Ovis aries: one gene and its partners. The protein of the gene in region 2 interacts with the protein of the main gene of each other region in a pairwise test. Links are inferred from orthologs where the notes say so. Each region holds a gene or a part of one and is shown on either strand. Other genes may lie near its edges. The genes, in order: TUFM, FUNDC1 and YES1.

Region 1 (4,233 bases), on a different chromosome or scaffold from region 2:
TGATCTGACCCTTCCATCACCAGCTCTCCTCTTGCACCATCAGCCAGGCTTTCTTCACCAAGGAAAAGTCACCCCCACTGCCATACACATCATACCTTCCCTGGAGGTAAGATGATCCGACAGGCCATGTCCCAAGTCAGGGAGAACATGACAGGCATGAAGTGGGATACAAAAGGCTTGTGGCGGCCACCCTCTTCCTTGCTGAGGATGTACACCTGTGAGAGGGAGCAAGAACATGGGTGAAGCCGGGCCTGGCTGGAAGCACTGACCCTCCACAGTGCCTGCCCATCACCTAGAGCCCTCACCTGTGCCTCCACCTTCTGGTGGGGCTGGATGGAACCTGGCTTGGCCATGACCAGGCCACGTCTCAGGTCCTCCCGCTTCAAGCCTCGGACCAGGGCCCCAAGGTTGTCGCCCGCCTCTGCCCTATCCAGGCTCTTGTGGAACATCTCAATGCCTAAGAGAGGGGAGACACGCAGGAGAAGGGTGTGGGGGCAGAGGGAAGGCATGGGGGGGGTCTGTGGGGGGGAGATGTCACCCTAGCCTGGGTCCCAAGGCTGCCTCCTGTACCTGTCACCACAGTGCGAATATTCTTGCTGTGTCCCAGGAATTCACACTCGTCTCCTTTCTTCAAAATGCCACGTTCGAGCGTGCCTGTCACCACTGTGCCCCGGCCTGGGAGGGAACAGGACAGGGCATCAGGGACACCGGATGAAGCGGCAGAGAGGGGAAGGGAATGCAGTGAGCCAGGTCCTCACCAGGGATCGAGTACACTGACTCCACGGGCAGCAGGAAAGGCTTCTCCAGGTCCCGGGTGGGCACTGGGATGTATGTGTCCACAGCATCCAGTAGCTTCTGCACGGACTTCAGGCCTAGCTCAGGGTCACGTTGCTATGAGCGGGAAGTGACAGGACTCTGAAACTTCCATTCTGCTCTTCTTACTTGCCCAGAGCTAGGCCCTGGACTCAGAGCAGAGCTCTGGGTGCCCATCCAGCCCCCTCCCCAGCCTGACCCCGCCTTCACCTCAAGGGCACAGAGGGCAGAACCAACAATGATTGGAGTCTCCTCCCCTTTGTAGCCAAACTCAGTCAGCAGTTCCCTGATCTCCAGCTCCACCAGCTCCACCATCTCAGAGTCCTGCACAGCGTCCGCCTTATTCACATACACCACCACATGCTCGACACCAATCTGCAGGTGAGAAAGACACACAGACGGTGTCCTGAATGGCCCAACACCCGCCCGCCCCCCCTTCCACCCCTTCCCAGGCTCTTGAGTACCTGTCTGGCTAGCAGTAAGTGTTCTCGGGTCTGGGGCATGGGGCCATCATTGGCTGCCACCACCAGGATGCAGCCATCGAGGGGGGCAGTGCCTGTGATCATATTCTGGGGAGAAAGAGGAGAGGAAGTAGTGCAATTCCATGACCTCCTCCACTCCCCAGCCACCTAGCTAAGCACAGACACTTCTTTACCACCTGCTGTGACTGGCCAGGCCCACAGATCCAGGATCTCCAACCCATACATCTCAAATATCTTAACCTCCTCCCCACAATCCTAACGTTTTTCCTGAGGGGGGCAGTTCCCAAGCCCTGTCCCCAGCGGCTCTCTCACCTTAACGTAATCTGCATGACCGGGGCAGTCAGTGTGGGCATAGTGGCGGGCGGCTGTGCTATACTCCACATGAGCCGCATTGATTGTGATACCTCGGGCTCGCTCCTCTGGGGCGTTGTCAATCTCTTCGTACTTCTTAAACTTGGCCCCACCTCCCTCCGCTAAAACTAAGGGAAGGAAGGGAACACACTTTTCAGCAAGGCCCTTTCCACTTTAGAAAAGGACAGTCTAGGAAAAGCAACCTTCCAAGATACCCTCCTTCAACTCCTGGGACTAGTAACTCCAGATCAGAAAGAAAATAGAGCCTCAAGGGCTAGCCCTGTGACTTCTCTAGGCCAACAATTCTGCTTACAGGGCACCTTCCCAGGGCTGGAGGGAGGCCACTGGGGGGGTCCCCCAACTTATGCATCAAAAACTTCGTGTTCACGGGAAATCTGTCTTCTGCATCCTGCAGTGTACTGTCCGCCCAATTTCTGGCGCCTTGTGCCCTGGTAAGTCACTTCAGTCGTGTCCGACTCTGTGCGACCCTATGGACTGTAGCCTGCTAAAACTAAGGGAAGGAAGGGAACACACTTTTCAGCAAGGCCCTTTCCACTTTAGAAAAGGACAGTCTATGGACAGGCTCTTCTGTCCATGAGATTCTCCAGTCAAGAATACTGGAGTAGATTGCCATTCCTTTCTCCAGGGGATCTCCCCGACCCCAGGGATCGAACCGGCCTCTCTTACGCCTAACCTGCATTGGCGAGCGGGGTTTTTACCACTAGCGCCACCTGGGAAGCCACCTGGCGCCTTTGGGGCAGCACCAAACACCTAGGCAGTTCCTCCGCGGGCCCCGCCCCCTTGGCTCCAAGTCCCACCTGCAGAGCAGGCGTTGCTGGAAGCCCCCCAACCCAACCCCACTTACTTTTCGTGATGGCCGCGGTGAGGGTGGTCTTGCCATGGTCTACATGGCCGATGGTACCCACGTTCACATGGGGCTTGTCACGTACATAGGTCTTCTTGGCCTCCACAGCCAGGCCACGGCACAAGACGGGCAATGCCGGGGCCTTCAGCTGCCGCAAAAGACCCTGCAATAGTGGTGCTGGGCCGGCGCCGAGACCTGCCGGGGCAGATGCCTGGAGTCACGGCGCAGGTCTGAGCCCGGCCGCTCCCGACGACCCCCACGTGAACCCGGGGCGCCGTGGCCCTCCCCGCCCCCTCACCGCTGAAAAGGGGCGTCGCGCGCAGCAGGGTAGCGGCCGCCATTGTGGTCGTACTGGCGCCGTAGAGAGTACCGGGCACGGGGGCCGGCGCGTGCAGCGGGGAAAGGGCAATTGCGGATGGAAGTCGCTTCCGGCGGAAGTTAGGACCGAGAGGGCACGTCTGGGCCCCTCTAGCCTCCAATCTCTATGGCCCTGTGAACTTCCGGGCGCGCGACAGAACCCGTCCAGGAAAGTGCTGATGGTGGTAAGGTGGGGAAGCTTTCCACGGCGCCCTCCAACCTCGCGGGCTCAGGAGCCACGCAGTTCTCTCTGGTGGCGCCGGGAGGCGATGTGGAGCATCTCATAGCGCGCCTACGCCCCGGAGGCTCATGGGCGTTGTAGTTCCCAGGGCCGTGAGCTGTACTGGCACGTATCGTGGGAGGGCGAGGCCAGGTCCGGAGGGACGGTCCAGGCCTTCTTGAAGCAGAGGCAGCGGCCCCGGCGTGGATGACTCCGGAACGTCTTGGCCCCGAACCACTTGGAGTCCAGTCCGACCCGCCGCGCGGGTCTGACGACAGATCTGGCGGCCTTGTGTCGCAGCTGGAGGTAGGACCAGCCGCTGCGGCCAGGCTGAGGGAAGACTCCCGAGAACCTGTTGGGGGTGGGTCTCTAGTGTGACCCACCTCTCTTTTAAGCCTTTGTTTTCTTATCTGTGAAGTGGGAATAGTATCTACTTTACAGGAAGATCCTGACATCTAGCTCTGAGAGGAAATGAGCTGGGCAAGAGGCAGAAAAGGGGTCCAAAAGCCTCCGGGTCCTACAGTCTTTGAGACCCTCCCCTGGCTCAAATGCCCTGTGAGCCAGGGGGGACAGAGTTTCCTGTCCACCCCTGTCGCCCCTCAGCAGGCCAGAGTAATTCTCTGGATCGTCGGTCAACCCACCCGGTTTTACAGATGACCAGGTGAGAGACCAACTTCTTGTGCCTTTAAGGGCAGCCTGAGTCTGTCTTGTTCCCGCTGTGTCCCTGGCACCTACCACAGGGCGGGGCACTCAGTGAGTGCTCAATTAATGTCTGTTGACTGAATGAATGAGTGCAAGGATAGTAAATGACCTTTAACTTTCACATCCATCATCTCATCACCGTGGGATGATAATAGCAGCTGCTTAACCTTGATTAATGTTTCCAAAATTCATCAGCTCCTAAGACTCAGCTGATGGTGTCTGTTTCAAATAGATTCCTTAATTCCTCCCTTGGAGATTATGATTCAGTAGTATCTGGGTACAGACAAGAAAACTATATTTATTTTTAATACTCTTCTTAAACTCATAGGAGTTTGGGGGACTCAGAATTAGAGCTTTTCATGGTTCAGGCGTTGTGCTTCATGTTGCTTCTCATTCAGTATCACATTCAATGTTATACTGTGTGATAGGACCCCATTTTACTA
Region 2 (4,153 bases):
TCTGGGGTCCAAATGATGGCCAATTCTATACACCCAAGTTTCTCTAAAACATTTGATTGTCTTCTTTCCATCCTCAAAGGCATCGCTACCTTGCTTTCAGATCACACTAATGACCCTCTGGCTGATCTTCACACCTCCCATCTCACCTAGCAGCCACCCATTCTGCTGTCAGTTTTAGTTTTTTTTTAGGATCAAGAACATATAACTACCTACAGCTAAACATAATTTCCTCAGCTTCCCAATCAAGTCCTGAATTGGTCTGAATTGTTAACTAGCTAACATCTTATTAACCATTCCTCCTTAACATATGCCACAATAGGACATCAGTTTTATACTCTAAAAAAATTGCAAACGTTTATTACGCTGAATCTAAAGTCATTGCAACAAATCACCTGTATAATATTAGAGTCCTATTACACAGCTCCTGGATCAACACCTGGCTATAATCCAAACATATGTGTCCCTCAGTAGGGGAGACAGCAACAAAGACTCAGAAAAGGGAGCAAAGGAGCCAAGCAGCAACCAGGTCTTAACAGTATCCTGGGGACTGTGCTCCACAAGCATGTCTATCCTTTGCTTGAATGGTATGAGAAACTACAATCAATATACTAATGTCCTCTGTTCTGTCTCTAGGCTTTCCAAGCAAACTTCTTCCAATTATGGGGCTTCTCACCAAGTTTGGCCTACAAGGAGAAAACACACAATGATTTAATCCTACTGCTCAATTATTTTTTAGTCTCTTTCAAGATGGGGCTCTAGGCCTGGACTCACATTAACCAATCACCCAAGGCACCAGACTGTGAGCTTATTTAAGTAGAAGGCCAGGCCCTGAATTGTGGGCATCAAAGTATAACCAGCTTGAGAAGAATCATCTGAATAACCAGGGCTCTGACCAGGCAACTGCAGGCTTTTTTCATAAGCAGCACTAATAAGTACACATCATGAATAAATACTGTACCTGTTCATCACAGAATCTTCACAGTGAATGTCTCTACCATAAAATGGCATTTATTTTAAAAAGGCGTTAAAAAAAAAAAAGGCATAAAAGAGCACACCATTGTTCCAAGGTGCAAATAAAACACAAATTAAAACAAACACTTTATACTTATCGAGTTTAAATATGTAAATATTTAAATTAATGTAGGATGAATTTAACCTAGAATCTAAGAAGAAAAAATGATTACTCACAGGTTAAGCACACCCACTAGCTTCAGAAATTCCCTAGGGTCATGAACATTTTCAAAATAAAGGGTCAAACTTCTTTCTGACCCTTGTTATTTGGCTAATCTTTTGAGTCTAAGAATAACAGAATTAGATCTACAGTAGCAATTATATAATCACGTGACCTGAAATGTTAACTGGTGAGGTTAATACTATTAACCTCTCCCCCTTAATGTACTCCACAGTATTATCACTGAGTAATTCCAACAAAGACCCAATGTTCTACAACTCTCCTTCTTCAAAGTATTATCATAATTTAAATTGGCCCACAAAATTAACAGAACCATCTGTATCATAATCAGTAATTTTTACTGAGAATTTTACACTGCTTTGCACAGGGCTGATAACCCTGGAGATTAGTTTTACTGTGGGAGTTCTCACAGGGTTTTCAACCGAACAAGTACAAATTATTTACATATAATTAACTCTTCTCTTCTATATTTTTTCCTCTTTACCCACTGGTACTGAATCAGATCCACTACATCTGCTAAATCTGAGAAGGGGGGAAATATGCAAAAAAAAAAAAAAGGAAGGATGAGGAGGAGGATGATCACCAAAACCCAGCAGAATCTGAGTGTAGATTACACTAATCATATCACCGAGAAAAGTCTCAAGGTACAGCTCTTCTGGGATTAACACTGTAAAACCACTGACTGAGTATGTAGTTGGCCCAGATACAAAAGGGCAGCAGTCAGGCTCCCAGTGAAATTTAACAAAAAAAAAAAAAAAAAAAAAAAGGATGTTCTCACCAGCCACTCACTCCACCCATTACAATCTGGGTGGCTACCGAGTATTTTTCTACCATAGGTCCGGAACTGTGGCCAAACACGCGATTCCACCAGTGATGTCTTCTGGCATACTCAGTTAAATCCAACACTTCGTAGGAATCATCATCACTTTCATATTCTTGAAAGCAGAAAACGAAAGCAACACATTTTCAGTCAACTGAAAGTTAAAAATGTCGTGTACATTTTCATCTGTTAAAATTCATTGTTACATTGGCATACACCTAAAAACGCCCGGATGTAGACAGTTTCTTAAACCCAATCTCTGAGACTTAGGGCCTTGAGAGTAAAGGGCCTAGCATCCCCTTCCCAAAGAGCTAGACACAGGTCTGGGGGGGCGGGGCAACGTCAGTTACACAACTGAGCAGTTACACCCCTACCCCAAATCTCTGCAGGGGTGGCTCAGTTTCACAGCAGGGTCTCCCCCAATCTCGGTAGGTAGGTCAGTTTCACAGCATGAAGGGTCACCCCCAAATCTCAAGTTCAGGGTCAGTGCAGGGTCCATTTTCATCAGTGGGAGGAAAAGGGGGGTCTTCCACTGGCCGAACCGGTTAGAGGCCCAGCAAGAAGAAATGACTTCAACAGTAAGACTTAAACGTTAGAAGACGGATAGGAAGGGAGGTGAAGGTAAGACAGGTGGGGCCGTGTTGAGGGCGAGGGTCCAAGAGGGGGAGGGGAGGTCTAGTCTAAAAGAGGTGCTCAAAGAGGTTGCCTCAAGAAAACAGAGCCCCCAGGATCCCTGGGACAGAAGGAAGAGGCGAGCCTGAAGCAACGTCGAGAGCTGTGAGCTGCCTCTAACATACTACTTCGGGCCCCGGCCGCTCACCTTGGGGAGGGGGGTTCCGGGTCGCCATGATACCGCCGGCGGCCTGTACTGAGGCGGTCCCAACCCGCCCGCCTCTCGCCCCTACTTTAAAAACCGCTCTAGGCCCAGGTGGAAGTCTATGGTCTCTTTTTTATCTCCTCCTCCTTTTCCTCCAGGCGCACAGTCCTGTCCCCGCCCCCTCCTCTAAGCGCAGGGCCTTCCGCGCAAGCGCAGGGCAGAGGGGCGCGAGGAGGGGGGAGGGGGGAGACAGGTTGGATACCAGCCCGCAAGGATTTGTGGGAGTTGTAGTCAGTTGCCCTCCGCAACACTGGTTTCCCACCCCTCCCCCCCGAGAATTTCCAGAAGCTAACTTTTGATATTTTGTTTCAAAGGGCCTCACTGGAGGGGAGGGGGCGTCACATGGTGGTTAAACGAAAACCAGCTTGCTGTTTGTAACACGGTACCAGAAAGAGGCTTTTAAAAAGAGATAAGAGAAACCCTCTTTCGAACCACACTTTTCAAGCAGTCAAAGGCTCACTAACCGATGGAAAATTTTTCTAACGCGCTGCTGCTAGGAATTGGAACCTTTTCATCTTCTCCACGCGTTTCCTGCCAGGAACCTGAGGGAGGAAGAGGGAAGCCCAGAAAATGACCTGACACGAGTTACTCAAGAGGACATAATTTTTAAACATCATTTTTGTTATTTAAATCTGACAGAGGAACGAGGATAAGTTCTTCACCCAAGAAGCCTCACGGGATTCTGTTGAATGAGAAACCGTGTTGAAAACCAAGCGGCTGACTCAGGTTCACATAAACTGGCCCCGAAACTTGTTTTGAATTTACGTTGCACCCGCATTCGCTGTACATTTAGAACAACCCTATCAGTATTCTTATTCTGAGAATATGGAAATGAAGAAAAATAAGAAATCCTGGTAGAGGCTGCATTACTTAAAATATTAACTTACATAATTGTACTTGGCTTTTCAAGTCCTGGTGCTTTAAATGCAAGGGTTGATGTCTCTCAAGTTCCTCAGCTTGTGCACCTCAAAATACAATTCTAAGACTGGCTGGAAATATTAATCTTCACTTTGTGTGAGATTACTGTCGTGGGCCATGTGCGGATTGGAAAAGAATATCCAGCCAAGAGGCTGAATGAGAGATGAATAAAGTTTACTAGAGAGGGACACACGATTACAACACATGTCGGTTCAAGGGAGAGCCCAACCCGTTCGCAGGCTACCAGCCAATTTTTATGGTCTCAAGATAGAAAATTTCTACTAGAAGGATGGTATTAGGTTATTGGTTAGCATGCCATAGGGAGAAGGCAATGGCAAACCACTCC
Region 3 (3,638 bases), on a different chromosome or scaffold from region 2:
AAGTATTGGAGTTTCAGCTTCAGCATCAGTCCTTCCAATGAATATTCAGGACTGATTTCCTTTAGGATGGACTGATTGGATCTCCTTGCTGTCCAAGGGACTCTCAATAGTCTTCTCCAACACCACAGTTCAAAAGCATCAGTTTTTTAGCGTTCAGCTTTCTTTATAGTCCAACTCTCACATCTGTACATGACTACTGGAAAAACCAAAGCTTTGACTAGATGGACCTTTGTTGGCAAAGTAATGTCTCTGCTTTTTAATATGCTATCTAGGTTGGTCATAATTTTTCTTCCAAGGAGCAAGCGTCTTTTAATTTCATGGCCGCAGTCATCATCTGCAATGATTTTGGAGCCCAAGAAAATAAAGTCTTCTCACTGTTTCCATTGTTTCCCCATCTATTTGCCATGAAGTGATAGGACCGGATGCCATGATCTTAGTTTTCTGAATGCTGAGCTTTAAGCCGACTTTTTCACTCTCCTCTTTCACTTTCATCAAGAGGCTCTTTAGTTCTTCTTCACTTTCTGCCATAAGGGTGATTTCATCTGCATATCTGAGGTTATTGATATTTCTTCCAGCAATCTTGATTCCAGCTTGTGCTTCATCCAGCCTGGCATTTCACATGATGTACTCTGCATATAAGTTAAATAAGCAGGGTGACAATATACAGCCTTGACGTACTCCTTTCCCGATTTGGAACCAGTCTGTTGTTCCATGTCCAGTTCTAACTGCTGCTTCTTGACCTGCATATAGATTTCTCAGAAGGCAGGTCAGGTGGTCTGGTATCCCCATTTCTTGAAGAATTTCCCACAGTTTGTTATGATCCACATGGTCAAAGGCTTTGGCATAGTCAATAAAGCAGAAATAGATGTTTTTCTGGAACTCTCATTTTTTTTTGATCATCCAACAGATGTTGGCAATTTGATCTCTGGTTCCTGTGCCTTTTCTAAAACTAGCTTGAACATCTGGAAATTCACAGTTCACATACTGTTGAAGCCTCGCTTGGAGAATTTTGAGCATTACTTTGCTAGCATGTGAGATGAGTACAATTGTATGGTAGTCTGAACATTCTTTGGCATTGCCTTTCTTTGGGACTGGAATGAAAACTGACCTTTTCCAGTCCTGAGGCCATTGTTGAATTTTCCAAATTTGCTGGCATATTGAGTGCAGCACTTTTACAGCATCATCTTTTAGGATTTGAAATAGCTCAACTGGAATTCCATCACCTCCACTAGCTTTGTTCGTAGTGATGCTTCCTAAAGTCCACTTGACTTTGCATTCCAGGATGTCTGGCTCTAGGTGAGTGATTACACCACTGTGGTTATCTGGGTCATGAAGATCTTTTTTGTATAGTTCTTCTGTGTATTCTTGCCACCTCTTCTTAATATCTTCTGCTTCTGTTATGTCCATACCATTTCTGTCCTTTATTGTGCCCATCTTTGCATGAAATGTTCCCTTGGTATCTCTAATTTTCTCGAAGAGATCTCTATAGTCTTTCCCATTCTATTGTTTTCCTCTATTTCTTTGCAGTGATCACTGAGGAAGGCTTTCTTCTCTCTCCTGCTGTTCTTTGGAACTCTCCTAAGAATGTCAGTTCTTAACCTCTAGCGTCTGTTTCTTTTGTGGGAAATATTTCCCCGTCAATGTGCCGCTTGTAGTTGGTGCTGTCACCACTAGGTGGAGGTGCCTCACTGACCAAGATGGACATCTGGAGCGCGATGACGCCATCAGAGGCTTTCACTATGGATTAGTGACTCATTAATACTGAAAAGAGGAGATAAAATTCAAGAGGGTAAAAAGCACGCCTGTCAGCAAGCATACTTGGTGACTTACTGGTCCCTCTTCCAATGCATCATCAGCAAAGGAGAAAGAGGGAAGAGTGACAAGCTTTCTCCTTTCCCTGCCCTAATCCTGTTACTGAAGATCCCACACCATGGGGTGTGGAGTTTGGAGAAAGACACCCTTCAGTTGGCAGTAGTGTAAAAAAGAAGTTTCTAGGAGTCCTCAGAGCACACTAAAACTCGATAAAACTAATTTCCTTAACTTTACCTGATTTTTTCATTTAGCACTGAAGACACAAATATTGTTCTGATTGCACTGTTTTAAATCAACTAGTGCAAATACTTTTTTTTCCTATTCTACTGCCTCTGGTCAAACGGAATCAAGGACTTTACTTTCAAAATAAATTCAGTGCCTTATTTTCCTTTTCAACTCTGTACTATCCTTCAGAATAACTGGGACTAATTACTAAGTATTCTGTTAACATATCAGATTTTCTCTTTTCATATGTCTACATAAAAATCTCCAATTAGAAAACACAATAAAAATCTGTATGCATAAAGAGAGAAATGACAAAATTTATTAACACGAATATCCCAGAGATACTGATGTACACATACCTTTTGACATAAATTCAGTGACAATGTAAATTGGCTCTTCAGAAACAACAGCATATAGTGGAACAAGTTTATCATGTCTTAGTTTTTTCATTATTTGAGCCTCTTGAAGAAAAGCTTCTGGCATCATTGTACCTGGCTTCAGTGTTTTGATTGCTACTTTTGTGGTTCCATTCCACGTTCCTAGAGAAACAACCCACATTTCACTATTTTAACCTATATATATTTTAAGAGATTTACAACAAACTTCAATGAGCAGCAGTAAGCTCACATATTTCAACATATCATAAATGATGGCCTTTTAATCTATGGGCAAACAATGAAAGAAAACAAAAGTTCAGGCTCCTTACCCATCCATACTTCACCAAAACATCCTTGTCCTAGTTTAACCTCTAGTCGCAAAGATTCTCGTGGGATTTCCCAAGCATCTTTTGCTAGACCTTGAGTCTGGGGTTTCACAGTTGGACACACAGTTGTTAACTTATGGCATAAACCATCGGCATGTTCTAGATAAATGAATAAACTATACTGTAAATGAATAATTTACAAAAACTGAGGTATATATACTTGTACCAGTGTTTTTAAAAGTTTATATCATAGGAAATAAAAACATGATGTTCTATCAGTTTTACTACAAAAGCACAAACACAAAAATGAAATTGCATAAAAGAAAACATACAAGGGAAACATTTTATTAAATACATTTTAAAGTTATTATTATTGAATACTTATATCCCAGCTATCATGCCAATTCAGCACTTCACAAATTCATATAAATAAAGGAATCTTAGAAAACTTAAGCAACTTTCTCAAGGCCACCCAGTAAACATGTGATGGAGATGAGTTTTAAACCCTATATCAGACTGCCTCCAAAGTTCTGCTTTTGATCACTGTACTTTATTTCTTCCCCAAAGAGAATGCTACCATTAACAGCTATTTCTAGAATCCACAAGTGTTAAGAAGCACAATAAAATCAAGCAAAAACTTCTTTAAAGGACTGACTTTCAAATAAAGGGAGACATAAAAACAGGAAACTCCAAATTGACAGTGGTTTGACTGACTTGTGAATCCTGTTTACACACATTGCGTTCCACTCAACAAGTAACCGCACACATCCACATTCTAACAAGTGCAATTACAACTGATGCTACTGCTGGTAACGTGCTGAGTCAATGTCAAGACCGATGATTGACTTGATAGACTCAATCTGCAGGTAGCTGTCACTGAAGAAGAAACTGTCATGGA

The links.
Region 1: the proteins of FUNDC1 (region 2) and TUFM interact in binary tests that used the Homo sapiens proteins (3 or more experiments, as listed by UniProt). The two-hybrid records come from large-scale screens. The link is inferred for Ovis aries from reciprocal best matches to the Homo sapiens genes FUNDC1 and TUFM.
Region 3: the proteins of FUNDC1 (region 2) and YES1 interact in binary tests that used the Homo sapiens proteins (3 or more experiments, as listed by UniProt). The two-hybrid records come from large-scale screens. The link is inferred for Ovis aries from reciprocal best matches to the Homo sapiens genes FUNDC1 and YES1.

What each region holds. Positions count from the first base shown.
Region 1 is NC_056077.1:26,479,472-26,483,704, reverse strand, and holds the start of TUFM (elongation factor Tu, mitochondrial), read right to left. Parts: upstream 2,925-4,233; 5' UTR 2,853-2,924; coding exon 2,810-2,852; intron 2,707-2,809; coding exon 2,512-2,706; intron 1,775-2,511; coding exon 1,608-1,774; intron 1,383-1,607; coding exon 1,278-1,382; intron 1,189-1,277; coding exon 1,024-1,188; intron 892-1,023; coding exon 759-891; intron 676-758; coding exon 571-675; intron 458-570; coding exon 306-457; intron 216-305; coding exon 96-215; intron 1-95. UniProt on the Homo sapiens protein: GTP hydrolase that promotes the GTP-dependent binding of aminoacyl-tRNA to the A-site of ribosomes during protein biosynthesis. Also plays a role in the regulation of autophagy and innate immunity.
Region 2 is NC_056080.1:43,693,612-43,697,764, forward strand, and holds the start of FUNDC1 (FUN14 domain-containing protein 1), read right to left. Parts: upstream 2,883-4,153; 5' UTR 2,861-2,882; coding exon 2,833-2,860; intron 2,128-2,832; coding exon 1,971-2,127; intron 1-1,970. UniProt on the Homo sapiens protein: Integral mitochondrial outer-membrane protein that mediates the formation of mitochondria-associated endoplasmic reticulum membranes (MAMs).
Region 3 is NC_056076.1:36,052,572-36,056,209, forward strand, and holds part of YES1 (tyrosine-protein kinase Yes), read right to left. Parts: intron 2,900-3,638; coding exon 2,744-2,899; intron 2,577-2,743; coding exon 2,397-2,576; intron 1-2,396. UniProt on the Homo sapiens protein: Non-receptor protein tyrosine kinase that is involved in the regulation of cell growth and survival, apoptosis, cell-cell adhesion, cytoskeleton remodeling, and differentiation.